Linked DNA regions of Kluyveromyces lactis. The protein of the gene in region 1 binds, or shares a complex with, the protein of each later gene. Links are inferred from orthologs where the notes say so. Each region holds a gene or a part of one and is shown in the gene's direction. Other genes may lie near its edges. The genes, in order: MRPL15 and MRPL20.

Region 1 (7,703 bases):
AGTTAGTGCTGGTCTTGTGCTGCCAACTGCGGCTGTTACATTATTGGGTAAAGGTGGTGCTGTCGCTTCGTTGTTATTGGTTTTCATGGCTGTTACAAGTGCCATGTCAGCTGAATTGATTGCCGTCTCATCTATCTTCACTTACGATATTTACAGATCTTATTTGAAACCAAAGGCCACAGGTAAACAATTAATATTCTCCTCTCACATCAGTTGTATCGTATTTGGTTTAATTATGAGTGGTTTCGCTACCGGTTTGTATTACGCAGGAATCAGTATGGGTTATCTTTACGAGTTAATGGGTATCATTATTTCATCTGCAGTGATCCCTTGTGCGCTATCATTGTTTTGGGATGCCCAAAACTTAGTAGCAGTGGTAGCATCGCCAATTATCGGAACAAGTCTTGCAATTATGTCCTGGTTAGTATGCACCAAATCCTTATACGGTGAAATCACCGTCAGTACCACTTTTGAAGATGATCCAATGCTAACTGGTAACATTGTTGCTCTATTATCACCATTGATTACGATACCATTGTTGACTTACATCTTCAAACCACAAAATTTCGACTGGGAGATCCTTAAGACCATTACCAGAGCTGATGAAGAAGAAGAGTTACTTGAAGCCGAGGGAAACGAAGTCTCTGTCTCTGATTCTGACAGTGTTGGTAACAATCAAGATGCCGAGAAATTGCAAGCTGTGAAAACCGTGATAACAACTGTAGACGAAATCCCAAGAGAAACCATTGAAAGAATGGCTGAAGAAGAGAGTCAGTATCTAAGCAGAGCTAGTAAGATTGCTGGATATTTGGCCATCTTTTTCGCTATTTCATTTATGGTCCTATGGCCAATGCCAATGTATGGTACCGGATACATCTTCTCTGAAAAGTTCTTTACCGGTTGGGTCTGTGTCCTAATCATTTGGATCTTCTTCACTGCATTCTGTGTGTGCTGTTACCCACTATGGGAAGGAAGACACGGCATATATACCACGGTAAGAGGTATATACTGGGATCTATCGGGTCAAACCTACAAATTAAGGGAATGGCAAGATGCTAACCCACGGGAAATGAAAGCTGTGCAATCTCAAATCATAGCAAAGATCGAATCAATCAGATCGGAAACTAACAAAAGTAAAGTGAGGCAAAACTTGGACGATGTTATCGAACGTTGATGGAAGTCATCACCTTATAGTTTTTCTCATATAGTCATCCATAAACCATCTTAATTCTTTTAATTATGATAATAACTCTTAAAGACATCAATGGCCAGGGTAAAACGGGGTCACAGTAACCTTAACAGAAACCCATAAGGCATACAGACCAGCCATGGAGTAAACCACCGCTATTCATAAGCTTTACAAGAAGTGAAGTACTCTTCACTTACGTTTAAGTCAACGGTTCTCAAATATGATTGGCCGGATATTTCAAATGTCCGGGTAATACTGTTGATCTTTTCCCTCAAAATTTTCATTGAATTGAACCAAACATGAAGAGATATCGAACTAAAGCATCAAGTCAAGAGTCAATTGATAGAAGATTACAAGGTCTCACACTTCTAGCTTGGTTGGTTTAGTGTATTCAATAGATAAAAGTCGAGCAGCAATGATTTCCAGAGTCCAATCTTTAGTTTCTTCTTTGACACACAAGACACAATCACTGTTGACCAAGACCGTTTACTACGGTAAGGTTACTGCTGAATTATCCAAGCAGGTCTACACTAAGGAAGGTCTACAGCCACCAAACTTCTCGGACTTTGAAATGGTCTACACCAGATTGTACAGACAAGCTTTGGGTTATGCTGATAAGCCTCAACAAGTTGTTAACTTGTTGAAGAACATTGAAAAGGACCAAGCCGTTAAGATCGGTGCTTTCGGCGTGCAATTGTTAGGTTTATACTCATTGGGTGAAATTATCGGTAGAAGAAAGGTTGTTGGTTACCGTAACTACTCTACTCACCACTAAAAATGGAATTGATTGAGAGGCCGACCGTATCAATTTTAAAAGCATATTCAGTAACATACGAACGAAATTTTAACAACTACAAACAACACTATATTCATTTCCAGCCAAGAAAAAAACAACCTAAAAATAAAGCGACTTTTACTCTGGTTTCCCAGATGAAGTGTTAAAAGACTATATATATGTATCGTCTATATGTAATATACATACGGATTCTGCGACGCTTTAATTATATGTATATCATCATGACTTAATTCGAACATTTGATATTGGAAATAAGCAACAGGGGTTATCCTGAGGTTAGGTCGAATCGTTGCCAGCTTCTTCCTCGGCATCCGATACAGAGAGTTTCCGTTTCTTTGAAGCTTCGATCATTTCTCTTCTTTGTCTCTTTTTTTGTTTTACAACCTTAGGAACAGTACTGATTTGTTTCCTCTCCACATGACCCTTACCCTTTTTCAATGATTCCTTCTCTCTTTTGGACATGGAAGAAATCTTTTGCATCCACTCTGAGACTTCACATCCACTTTGCTTCATCACGTTTATTATTGGTTTAATTGCCAAAGAATCTTGTTTCGTGTAAAAAGTAATGGCTTTACCGGATCTACCACCTCTACCTGTTCTACCGATTCTATGCACATACGCCTGAGCTGATCTAGGAACATCATAATTGATGACCAGATTCACACCTTTGAAGTCGACACCACGAGCCAACACATCGGTACAGATCAAACACCAAAGGTCTCCAGACTTGAATCTTTCGATAATTTTATCTCTTTGAACTTGAGTTCTTTCGGCATGGATCACGTCCACATTCAACTTGTCATATAGCAATTCATGGAACAATGCCTTGGCTCTTGTAATAGATTCCAAAAAGATGATTACTGGAGGTTTGAATTCACCTTCAAGAACCAATTGCCTGATGGCTATAAGTTTACCTTCCTCGTTACCACAGAATACTAATTGTTGATCAATGTTGATATTTGCTGCTTCTTTGTGACCGATAATGACTCTGATAGGATCGTTCATGATGGTTTGGGCGATTTCCTCCACGTTGGATGGTATAGTGGCAGAGAACATTGTTTTACGGAGATGTGGATCAGTACATGAACTCAAGATATCATCAGTTTGTTCCACAAATGTCTTGTCGAATAATTTATCCGCTTCATCAAATATTAAATGTTTCACTTTACCCAAATTCAAGGCTTCTTCCTGAACCACAGTAATCAATCTCAAGGGAGTAGAAATGATAATATCGTACTTGTCCTCACTGATAACTTTATTCTTTAATTTTGAGCTTAATGATTTTGAAAGTAGGGCAACTTGCAGAGGTCTTTTCTTGTCCAAGTATATCTTGTTCGCTAATTTGGAACATTCGATGAAGATCTGGTTCGCAAGTTCTTTTGTTGGGGATATAATTAAACCTTTAAGACCAACTGTGGTTTTATCGTTGATTATCTGTTGCAGTAGTGGGATCAAAAATGCCAACGTTTTACCAGAACCTGTGGGAGCACAAGCGATCATGTCACGTTCATGCAACAAAATCGGTATAGATTCACTTTGAATCGGAGTTGGTTCAGTGAAGTTATTTTCTATGAGGTTGTTTAACAATCTCTTATCGAATTGGAACCTTGTGATCAAGTCTTCAAAAGAACCGATGGGCAAAGGAACACTATTCCCTGAAACATTCCCTTGATAAGATTTACGTAACTTTAACGCATCTTGTTTCGTGATAATTTTCCCGGATAACTCAGTCTCGTCATCAGCATGATCTTCGTCTTCTTCTTGATTATCTTCTTGTACTTCGTCTTCACCTTCACCTTTGGTTGACTCAGACTTTACCTTATTCATGATTTTCTTATTACGGAAAAAATCCAACTCCTTAGTCAATTGTTGTTCATCTCTAGCTGGTGTACTTGAGCTGCCAGCTGTCTTACTCTTCTTTTCATTAGCCATGCTAAAGTCTGCAGACTGTGTTCTATTAGAATCACCATTCTTCCTTATGCTAGCTCCACGAGTCAAGACTCTAAAGATATCCATGTTAATTAGCGGTGCTAGTATTGGCCTGTGAGAAGTTACTTAGTAATGAGAATAAATTCGATAGTAAACCACTGTGAGTGATATAATCAATCTCTTACTACTCTCTCATCTCATCTCATCTCATCTCATCGCCTACATCTAATTGCAGTTTTTTCAATTAAAATTGATCTTACTGAAGCGTTTCTTTTCACAAAACTTAGGGTACAATAAGTGTAAAAATCGATATAAAAGTACTTCTCAAGGCATAAAGATGCAGCAAAGCTTACTTTAAGATACAGCTGGTATTAAGCCCTCATAATACCAGCCCATAATGACCATATTCCCTTGATAACAGTACCTAATGCCTTGATATTGCATGTATTCCCATCATACAAGATAGCACTTAGACACAGCGATGACCTCGTTTGGAGTGATCTGAAAAATTTTGAAAAATTTCAAAATTTGGATCGCTGCCTCGAGTCGAAAAACTACAAAGAAACAGTTTGAATCGTAGTTAAAAGGACTAAACTGTTAGAATTAAGATTCAATAATTCTAATATTTGTGTCCTGTGTAATTACAATCTGTTGATATTCGGTCGAGGAAGATTGAATTGTGAAAATACCAGACAGAAACCATTCAGACAGTATTTTTTTACTTCTGGAATAATGTCCTTAACCAAAATTGGTCTTAACTTAAGCACAAAATTCGGCGTGCGTAATGGTTCTTATCTACACGTTGGGACTAGGGTACGTGGTTTGAAAAGAGACCCAGTTGAGTCTTTGAAGAATCCACACGGTTTGCACTATGATTCTCTTGTCAAGGATGGCCATGTATCTACTGTTAAGCAAGGTTTGAATTTGGAAAAATATGGTATTGACTTGCCAGACGACATCATTACACAATGTTTGACTCACAAGTCGTTTGCCCAAGGTATTAAACCATACAATCAGAAATTGTCTATTATCGGTGGTCATTTTGTGAAATATCAAGCTTGTCTTCATTCCTTGGGTCTACCTGTTTCTGAAAGGCAACTATCACAAAGCGTACAGTCTGAACCTGTTATTAACGGACTAAATTTCGGTATGCTTGGGAAGGGAAGTTCTAAAATGTTAATATCCAAACAGAGTACGGCTGAATTTTTGCAAAGGAGAAACCTAGATAAATTAGTGTTTTGGAACAAACGAGACACTCAAAAAAGTCACAAATATAACGGTGAGTATACCGTGCTACAAACTGTGCTAAATTCTGTGGTCGGCAGTGTCTATCTATTGCACGGTCAAGACAAGGCCACCGAATACGTGTTGCATGAACTATTCAGCGACAATAGTGATTCCCTAACGAAGATATCTGAAAGTTTGTTAGCAAACAGGGATACGACCGAGAAGTTATAATATTATGTCTAATTTTACACGACAGGAAAGAAAGAGAAATGGAATACACAATAGACTTCGACATCAATAAAAAGCACTCGAGTGAATGGTCTCCATCGGAGTTGGGAAAGAGCTTTCAAAACTTGTATATATATATTTCGAAACGGAAGTTTCAATCACAGCTCTTGGTCAATGTGGTGTTTTAATCTACTCTTTCATCCCTGCTCAATTTCAACGTTTTATTATAATGAATTTACCAAAAGCATGAAAAGCATAACCTTTTAACGACACTCCATCGTCACACTTCAATTAAAAATGAACCTCGAAAGAAACGCGCGCACTGTATATATCTCATGTATCTCTAGAAATATAGACGTACATAAATTTACAACTAAATCTATCATTAATTAAATGTTAACATACAAAATAAAAACAGATTAAGAAAAGTACATAATACAATACATGTATATAAATACATATATAACTTCATAGAAGGGATGTTTTTTGCTGGTAATTTACTTGGAAAGCTTAGCATTTAAATACTCAATGTTGGTCTTAAGACTAGCTTCTTCCACAGTCTTTACCAATTCTTTGGTACACTTTGCTACATCAAATGCAATACCAGCTAAACGTTGTTTGAAATGCTTATCTGCGAACTCTTCGTCCCCCTCGTGCGCTACTACAATACCGTCTGGTTTAAGATGACAAAGTATGGTCATTCTACGACGACAGTCATCTAAACTCTGAACAACCCATGAACCATGTTCTTTCAATTGAGAATTACGGCTTTGGTTCATGGAAACACTTGTAGCTTCCACCATTTGCCTTATTACTTGATTGATAGCATTTGATTCGGTTCTTAGTTCTCCAGCAGTGGATTTAGGTAACTTAATACTGCTCAATAACGATTGAATTGTGTTTATAACATCCATTGTCTGATATTCTAGGTATAGCAATAAGTCAGAAAGACTATTGTCAGGATTTTCAATGTCAAACGCATCAACGTCAAATTCAATGTCGTCGTCAGTTTCACCAGTTTCTGATTGTTCTGCGATTTCTTTAGTTTCTGACTCGCTTTTGTTGGCATCGACGGCCTTCTGATCGTCATTAACTTTTGAATTATCAGAAGCAGTTACTATAGGCCTTAATGGAGAAATAACCAATTCGGCAGTAGGTGATGGGGATGGCTCTTTTTGTTTCAAAGTTGGAGTAACGGCAGGGATAGGAACGAGTTTTATATTCTTTTTGTTTACAGTTATCGAAGGTACAGATTCAGATTCAGATTTAGCATTTTCTTCAGATTCAAAATTGAATGACTTCTCATTTAAGTCGACATCCTCTGTTGAAACTTCAATAGGTTGTGGATGTACCACTGGCGAAAAAATTCCTTTCAAATTTTTTTCTTCGTTGGTTCCGTTTTCTTCTTGTAGATGCTTTTGCTTCATGGTTTGTCTTAACACTTCATATGTAGAATTCCCATCGTCCTCCTCCTCTACACTTTCGCTTTCAGTTTCTTCATCATTGCTGTTGTATATGTCAGAATTAATATTTTGCAATAGCTTTCCCTTTTCTGGAGATGATAACTCAAAAGGATTTGGGTCTTTAAAGTCAGAAGGAACAACTGCTGATGATTTTTTGGCAAGTGGCGAAGTAGGTAGAAGTGAATTGCTGGCTGAAGCAGACTTAATTGCATCAATGGTCTTCAATTCTCTGCGTTCGATTATAGGAGCATTGCTTTCCGATTTGGAATTGTTATCCAGAGGTAATTCTAACTGCAATATATTCTTGGATTTCTTTGATGCGTTATCTTTCTTCATACCCCCATTAAGCATTGCTGTAAATAAGCCAGTTCCAGAGGGCTTTCTAACTGAAACAGGCCTTGATGACGCGTCGTCGGTATTTTTTTTCTGGGTAATTTTCAAAGGTTTGACCGGAGACATTTCAACGCTATCAGCCCGAGAAGGAAGAAGTGATGGTTTGTCTAAAACACTTCCCTCGTGTAAACCTTTAGCAAAGTTATTCGAGGTTTGTCTATTTTGCATGGAGAGGCCAAGTGGACTATCCAGTTGATCACCAGATTTATTTGATGTGAATATTTCATCGTTATTGGATCCGCCATTTACCGTCTTAACCAAATCATAGATTGCAAATGAGATTTCTGAAACAGAATTTTCAAGAATAACTCTTGATAATGGAGTTTTATAGCTGCTGAAGTAACGCACAGATGTGATAGCATGTGATATTGTGTTCTCTAACACTAGTCTCATGGTCTTTGTATCTGGGGAGTGAACTAAAGTTAAAATTTTTGAACAATATTCTGAAATGGAAGCAATGTTCTCGAATAAAAACAAA
Region 2 (7,676 bases), on another chromosome or scaffold:
TCCCCTGAACCCAGAATCACTGTTTGGGGTATCTGATATGCTTTAAAGTTCAACAACTGTTCAATTACATGTACAAAGATGTATATATTCGTCGGTCGGTCAATTATTAATATATACTACTAGAAAGGTCTTCTTCTTTTTATTCCAATCCTAACCGCAGGCTGTTCCTGACGTTCATTGGTTGTCCTTCTCATTTCTATACTGTTCGTCTTATTTAAAGCAGCAGAAGATTTGTCGGTTTCTAGACGTTCCAATTTATCCTTTGCATTAAGCCTTAGTTTCTCAATTTGAAGATCAATTTTGTCCTGGTGGTCCTGATCATCGTTATTCAGAGAAGAGTTTAGTCCGAACTGATAGGATTGTTCTTTTCGTCTCTTTATATGATAGAAAATACCACTGTATTCCATCAACCATAATGGGTCGACAGCTGTCACGACATTTATATATTCCTTTGTAGTCATCAAAAGTTCATGATAGACGACATACGCTGGAAGGTCACCAAGACCAAATAAAGCACTTGTTGGATGTACTTTGAGATCCATCCCTGTTTTTAAATGAACATATTTGCCTAACCCTGATAGTTTGGCAGTCTGTTGGATGTAACCGGTGCATAGACATTTTCTTATTGGAGCCCAGTCTGACCCAGAAGAAGCCATCGGTAAATTCAATTTTCTTATCACATAGAGTAACTGTTCTCGAATGTCTTTAGCTCTTTGGAGAGATCTGAATTGTAAGAAGCGTGAATTACACCAATGGGCAGAATATCTGTTGGCTTTCCATTGAGCATACACGTTAAGTAGGGTCAAATGATCTGATTCAGGGATGAAAAACCGGCTTCTGGCTTGGTCAGATTCTTCTTCACGTTCCTTCGGCCTATAGAAGACAGACGGAACCGAAAGCATAGATACAATCGTTAACATCTCTTCGGTACAGCCATATTGTGATGCACTTATTAGTACCCTGGAAAGAAAGGGCTGTAAAGGGAAGGCACCCATCAGTCTGCCTAATTTAGTTAGATGACCGAAGTTGTCCAAAGCTTCTAAGGCCCAAAGATCGTACAACGATGTCATTAGATTCTGCGATGGCGGTGGATCAATGAAAGGGAATTTCGATAAGTTGTTGATATTCAACGATTTCAACTGCAAGAGTGTATTTGCCAAATTTGTCCTTTGAATTTCTGGGATGGCCTGAGGATACATATCTTCCATCGCTGAATCATGAGTGAAAAGTCTATATGCGATACCAGGGCCCGTACGACCAGCCCTTCCTGACCGTTGATTAGCATTTGCAAGTGAGATGGGTGTGATTCGCAAACTATCAAGGCCGATTTTCGGATTATACACCTTCAATTTGGAGTACCCACAATCTATGACATATTTAATACCGTCAACTGTCAATGATGTTTCAGCAATATTTGTGGCAACAACAATCTTTCTAACGTTTTGTTCTTGTCTTTGAAATATCCTTCCTTGTACATCTGCAGGTAACGACGAGTAAATTGGAAGAACTTGAACATCCGCTAATTGCTCCTCATAATTTGCCCCGTATTTTTTAGTATAGATCTCAGTTAAGCGTTCGATGATGGTAGAACAAGTTGCTTCAATATCTTCTTGACCAGTCATAAATATCAAGATATCTCCATTTGAAATTGGTGTAGATAAATGTATATCTAAAGCTTTTTGAACAGCAGATTCAACGTAATCAGGTACTGGATGGTTAGTGTAAATGATTTCGACGGGGAAAGTTTTTCCCGGTATGAAATATTGTGGCGCATTACCAAAGAATTGGGAGAACTTATCTGCATTCATTGTTGCCGATGTCACGACAAGTTTTAAATCGTGTCTTCGAGCTAATAATGTTTTGAAGATCCCTAGGAGCACATCGGTGTTCAAAGATCGTTCATGAGCTTCGTCCATTATAATACATGAATATTTCTCAAGCAACGGATCTATCATTGCCTCCCTAAGGAGTATACCGTCGGTCATAAACTTGATTTTTGTTGAATCCGAAGTCTGATCTTCGAATCTGATTGAGTATCCAACTTTAACACCAATTGGGGTATCCATTTCTTTGGAAACTCTTTCAGCAACCGATACAGCTGCTACTCTTCTTGGCTGTGTACATCCAATCATTCTACCATTTGCAGTGAAACCGTCTTCGTAGAGGAATTGTGCTAATTGTGTTGTTTTACCTGAACCCGTTTCACCAATAACCACAGTAATCTGGTTATCTCTAATATGGCGCATTAAGTCGTGTCGTACTTTATAAGCGGGTAAAGACCTTCTCACTGCTTGTATTTCTTCAAAGCTCTGCTCTTTTTCTTTTATAGCAATGGGCTGATTAGGTTGCTTAGTTTGCGCGTCAGTTGAACTATCTTGTTTTACTCCTAGAACTTTACCTAAGGCGCTACCTTTTAGCTCGGTAGCGTTCTGAGATTTAGATTTTCTATCTCTATGAATCCTCCTCATCGCTACAAGCTTGCTGCCTCTCCTTGCATTAATAGAAAAGTCGCTCTCAGGGTTTCTTATCGGATCTGCTATTCCCTTATTTGCATTTGAAGACATATCCAAAGCACCCACTATCGCAAGCTCTCCTGACTGGTCATGGAAATCAAGTAAAAACGGAGGAATAATGGTTTTACGCTCATTCAACGATAAGGAAGTTAATTGGATTTCAGGTTCATTCAAGTCAAGCTCTCTGTCGCCGCCTTCGTACGGATCTTGCTGAGCTGGTATATATTCATCATCGTGAATGACGTTATCAAAATCATCATCATTATCGTACCAATTTCTATCTTGTGCAGTAAAATCCTTGGCGTCCTTTATATCTTCCACATCACTACCTTCTGCATCGATAAGTGTGCCTTTGGTCGCTTCTTCTTTTTTTACCATGACCACTGGTTCAGTGTTTTCTGAAAACTCATTCAATTTTGCTGCAGTTTGCTTCGTAATACGTTTCAAAGTCAAAGGCTTGTTGAATTTTGGTTTCACTTGTACCTTCACAGTAGAAAGCTCATCTTCATCGTCGTCTTCCTTGTCATCCAACGGAAGTTTAACCACAAATTTTTTCCTTATGGTTCTTGCTGGAACAGCCGCTGATTCTGGCTTTGGAGACTGCTTATGTGCCTGTAATTTTTCAAAAAGTTGCTTCAAAAACTCATCTTTGCCCTTAAATTTCCCCAAAGCCTTAGCACCCCCGATGAACTTGTTTACATCCTTATGAATACGTGCAATCTGCCTTAAAGTCTCAACAAACTTCTCTGTCACTCTTGATTCCGTATTCTGTTGAATCCATTCTTGAAGTTCTGCATTCATCTAATTCTGTTGCTTGGTAAACCTACCACCTGGCGTAAAACCTGATGAGACAGAGCTGCTAATGAAGTATCACAAGGACTGTTTATGCCATTATTCTTGTCCCATCTCATAGCCTTTCAGCTCTTCCTGTTGTGAATAGGAACGACATTTGATGTTGATGTTGGGATTACCCGGCTTTCACGTGACAAAAGATACAGAATAGTCCAAATTGGCACTTCTAAAAGCTGCATAATATCGCCAATATAAGCCCTATTTTAACAGGTCAGCTCACACTCATTCATAGTACTAATCGATATTATATAGAAGCATCTTCAGGTAGGTATATCCACTAGAATAATCCTATATTTCTCGAAATAAACTGTTTTCCCATACTAATCCTGTCTGTCTCATCAGGATTTCTATCTGAAAAATTTGAAAGCATCAAACTGAAAGATTTAGAGTCTGCAGTGCGAAACATGGTGATTGATAGTTTAAATAACAAGTTTTAGACCCTTACACCAGGCTTATAATCCCCAATTACGCTGTAGAAATTACATTTGACATATTCGCTACAGTATGGTGAGACTATTTTCGACCAGCGCCCGTGCGGCCAAGGATCTTTCAAAGATAATTGATAAATCAGGTAAGTTACCTAAGATCGTTGGACCAGCTACCATTTACAATCCAAAATCATCTGCCTCCAATTACAAAGGTTATTTGAAAGCCAAGATTCCAGCAGGTCTATATTACGATCCAGCTCCATCCTCTATCCATGGTTCTACTAACTCAGAAACGATTCCAAAATCTTTCTTACCGGCCACTGATCCAAGGCACGACATTATAGATGACCTAACGCAAGGTAACGCAGAGATATCGAGGGTAGCGCCAGTGTTACATGAGAAGGGTGAGAAGACCTACCATTTGAAGCCTGAAGACATCGCTGAGATTAGAAGACTAAGACTGGAGGACCCGGTGAAAAACTCTAGAAAAGCTTTAGCAAAGAAGTTCAACTGTTCTCCGTTGTTCATCTCTATTGTTTCTGAACCACCCAAGGAAAGAAAGACAGAAATGAATCAAGTTCTTGAGACGATAAAGAGCCAATGGCATCCTAAGAGAGCATTGGCCAGAGCCGAAAGAAAAAAGAGAAAGGAACTCTGGTACAGAGCATGAGAAAAGGTAAAAGAAAACAACATACTGTATATCTGTAAATAGTAATAAGATAACCATCGACCTTATGTTTCAATCGTTAGTCATCAACTCTATTAAATGGCTTATAACATCTATATATATGCATGTAATATAATACAATGGAAGACGTGCAAAAATTAGTGTCTATCTCAATAAGTTACAGCTGGGGTCATTATCGTTAGGAAAAAATGATACATTAGTACCACTAATACCCATCGTACATCTCTTGGAAAATTTCGTACTCATCTCGGATTCTCAGGATTATATCTTCGAATAACTGCATCTGATACGCATCTTTTATTTGTAGTTCCAATGCAATCTGATGCCTATGCTGTCCCTCGCACAACATTGCTATCTGATACCATTTCTCCCTCCGCTGCAATACCGTATGCAGCTCCTTCAGATTCGATATCACCTGCGTCTCACAGAACAACCTCTCGTCGCTGTTTATATCCTCTTTATCAACTCCGTCCTCTTTATCCGAAACGAATCGAAACCTGTACAGCGACGGTTGCATCATCGTCGACTGATTGGACCCATCCAAATGCAAAAGCTCGTCTACTATAAGCTTCCCCTTCCATAGCAAATGCTGGGGTTCCCACGCTCTTGCAATGCTTCGCGGTACGATATTATACAAAACACAACTCTGTATCACTCGTTGATGCGTTGTCAGCACATTCTCCGGAACTGTCATCCGAAAACGTATCGGCTATATCACTTCTGTTCTCTTCAAAATATTACCTAGGAAATTCAACTCGTTCACCTGTTAAATCACCTACCGGGAATTACCTTCTTGACCAAAAAAAGAATGTACTAATGGACAAACTGCACTGTTTACAACTCACTTCATGCTATCGATAACAACTCATCTCATCTCATCGATAAAGAGATTGCATGTCGACGCAGCAACTGATAAAGAAATTTTTAAAGTCACGTGACAAGTATCAACAGTTTCTGAAAAAATCTGAAAATCTCAATTACAAAAGGTTTCTAATCGCAAGCAATTCTCTTGTTATTCGGTTCAACCTGCATTTAAACTCGAATTATACCGTCTATTGCCTGATTCTCTGACTAAGCGAAGCAGTTTATTATGTCTAAGTTTTATGACGATGATGACGCTGTGGATTATGACGACGATGTACCTGATTTCCAGGACGAGGATGAATTTGACGATTATTTAAACGATGAAGAATTTGAATTGATGAACCAGTTGTTTCCCCTGGCGAAGGAGCAATTAGCTGATTATCAGGGTTGGGATAACTTGGCCGTGAAAGTTGCGATTTTTGATCACAATTTCGAGTTAGAACCTGCATTGGTCGATTTAAAGAGAAGATTCAAGAAAAAGGGTATGTATAATTGGCATTGGACGTGGCGGTGTTTTATATTTTTACGTGTTTTCAGTTATGATTTCTTGTTGGTTCTTCCATGGTAAACAAAATTGGTACTAGGGGGGTCTGCCTATCTTGTATTTTATCTTCTTTGTGGACGGGAAGAGGGTTATGATATATTGTACTAACGGAGCTGGACATGTCGATTGATCATGATGGTCGTGAACGTGGTGCTTATTTGTGTTTCGGACGGGCAGCAGAAGAAAAAACAATTGACTTGATTGAACAGCGTGTATTGTATTGCATCTCTAATGAGCTATATGACTAACTAAGTATCATTTATTTGTTTGTTTGCAGAACAGAAAGTGGAAAAGAAACTATCGGCCTTAGAATTACTGGCTAGGAAACGTGCAGAAGCAAGGAATAAGGCTTCAACAATGGCACCTGCAACAACTAAGGTTTCTCTTCTGGACAAACTCAAGAACGGAGGTGGTAATGGACAAAATGGTAATCCTGTAAAAACAACTGTATCCGTAGCTAGTCGATTGCAATCACTTAAAAGGGGACCCATTACTACTGACAATAACAGTAACGGCGCTGCAACTGCATCCTTTTCACAACCGAAAACTCACACATTGGCATCAAAATTGGCATCACTCAGGAAAAGTAAACCTGAGGGACAGATTATAGAGAAACCCGAAGCGGAAGAAACGAACGTAGAGGTGGTCATCGAAGAAAATAAGATAGATCATGAAAAGAAAGATAAGGATGACCCATGGGTCATACTTAACCAATTGAAAGATTCAGCATATGTCAGTAATATAAACGAAATTCTGGCAATCAACAAGGTACCGTTATATTCTGGCATCTTGGAGAAACTAGAGTTTAATTCAACAACCACGAAAAGGAAACACGAAGAACTGTTTTCAGTCTATTATCCAAATACTAACAATAGAGTAGTTAAAAAACAAGCAATTGCTAACTTTAGCAAGCCATCTCCGGATGATGTCGTAATAAACCAACAAAAGGCAGCATTCGAGGTGGATAAAATTAAAGAAAAGGTCGCTGATTTATCTATACAAGATAAACAAAGTTCAAAAACTGTTGAAAAAGAAGAGGATATCAATGACGATGACGATGATGATGAGAAGTTACCTTTTGAAGAGCCTGTTGTGAAGACTTACAAGAAGGTGAGTGTTCCTACAAAACCTAAAAATGCAATCAATATTTCTTCCTACCTCGACAACAAGAAACCTCATTTGAATTTTGTAGTTCTAGGTCACGTTGATGCAGGAAAATCCACATTGATGGGACGTCTACTATACGACGTTGGTGCTGTTGATACAAAATTGATTCGTAAGTTGCAAAAGGAAAGTGAAATGATTGGCAAGTCCTCATTCCATCTTGCTTGGGTCATGGATCAAACTTCAGAGGAAAGAAATAGGGGTGTTACCGTTGACATTTGTACTAGTGATTTTGCCACTACTAAAAGTTCGTTCACCATTGTTGATGCTCCTGGTCATAGAGATTTTGTTCCAAATGCAATTGTTGGGATTTCACAGGCTGATGTCGCTGTTCTTTCAGTAGACTGTGGAACCGATGCATTTGAATCAGGTTTTAACCTTGATGGTCAGACTAAAGAACACGCATTGCTAGCCAGAAGTCTCGGAATTAAACATATCGTTGTTGCCATGAATAAAATGGACTCTGTATCGTGGTACGAAGGTAGATTTAACGACATTAGATCAGAATTGGCTGTTTTCTTCGAAGAAATCGGTTTCAAAGGTAACGATGTAAGCTGGGTTCCATGCAGCGGGTTAAGTGGTGAGGGTATCTTCAAAACCCCATATCCGCCATCTCAAACTTG

The links.
Region 2: MRPL15 (region 1) and MRPL20 share a complex: the UniProt entries of both Saccharomyces cerevisiae proteins name them as parts of the mitochondrial large ribosomal subunit. The link is inferred for Kluyveromyces lactis from reciprocal best matches to the Saccharomyces cerevisiae genes MRPL15 and MRPL20.

What each region holds. Positions count from the first base shown.
Region 1 is NC_006039.1:1,526,239-1,533,941, reverse strand, and holds MRPL15 (mitochondrial 54S ribosomal protein mL57), read left to right. Parts: upstream 1-4,646; coding exon 4,647-5,372; downstream 5,373-7,703. Other genes in the region: DUR3 (Dur3p), read left to right, coding at 1-1,174; ATP20 (F1F0 ATP synthase subunit g), read left to right, coding at 1,605-1,964; RNA-dependent ATPase ROK1, read right to left, coding at 2,262-4,001; KLLA0_C17380g (uncharacterized protein), read right to left, coding at 5,867-7,703. UniProt on the Saccharomyces cerevisiae protein: Component of the mitochondrial ribosome (mitoribosome), a dedicated translation machinery responsible for the synthesis of mitochondrial genome-encoded proteins, including at least some of the essential transmembrane subunits of the mitochondrial respiratory chain.
Region 2 is NC_006037.1:688,737-696,412, forward strand, and holds MRPL20 (mitochondrial 54S ribosomal protein mL58), read left to right. Parts: upstream 1-3,869; coding exon 3,870-4,463; downstream 4,464-7,676. Other genes in the region: OMA1 (metalloendopeptidase), read left to right, coding at 1-36; DEAH-box RNA helicase PRP16, read right to left, coding at 120-3,314; KLLA0_A07777g (uncharacterized protein), read right to left, coding at 4,687-5,175; ribosome dissociation factor GTPase HBS1, read left to right, coding at 5,572-5,827, 6,143-7,676. UniProt on the Saccharomyces cerevisiae protein: Component of the mitochondrial ribosome (mitoribosome), a dedicated translation machinery responsible for the synthesis of mitochondrial genome-encoded proteins, including at least some of the essential transmembrane subunits of the mitochondrial respiratory chain.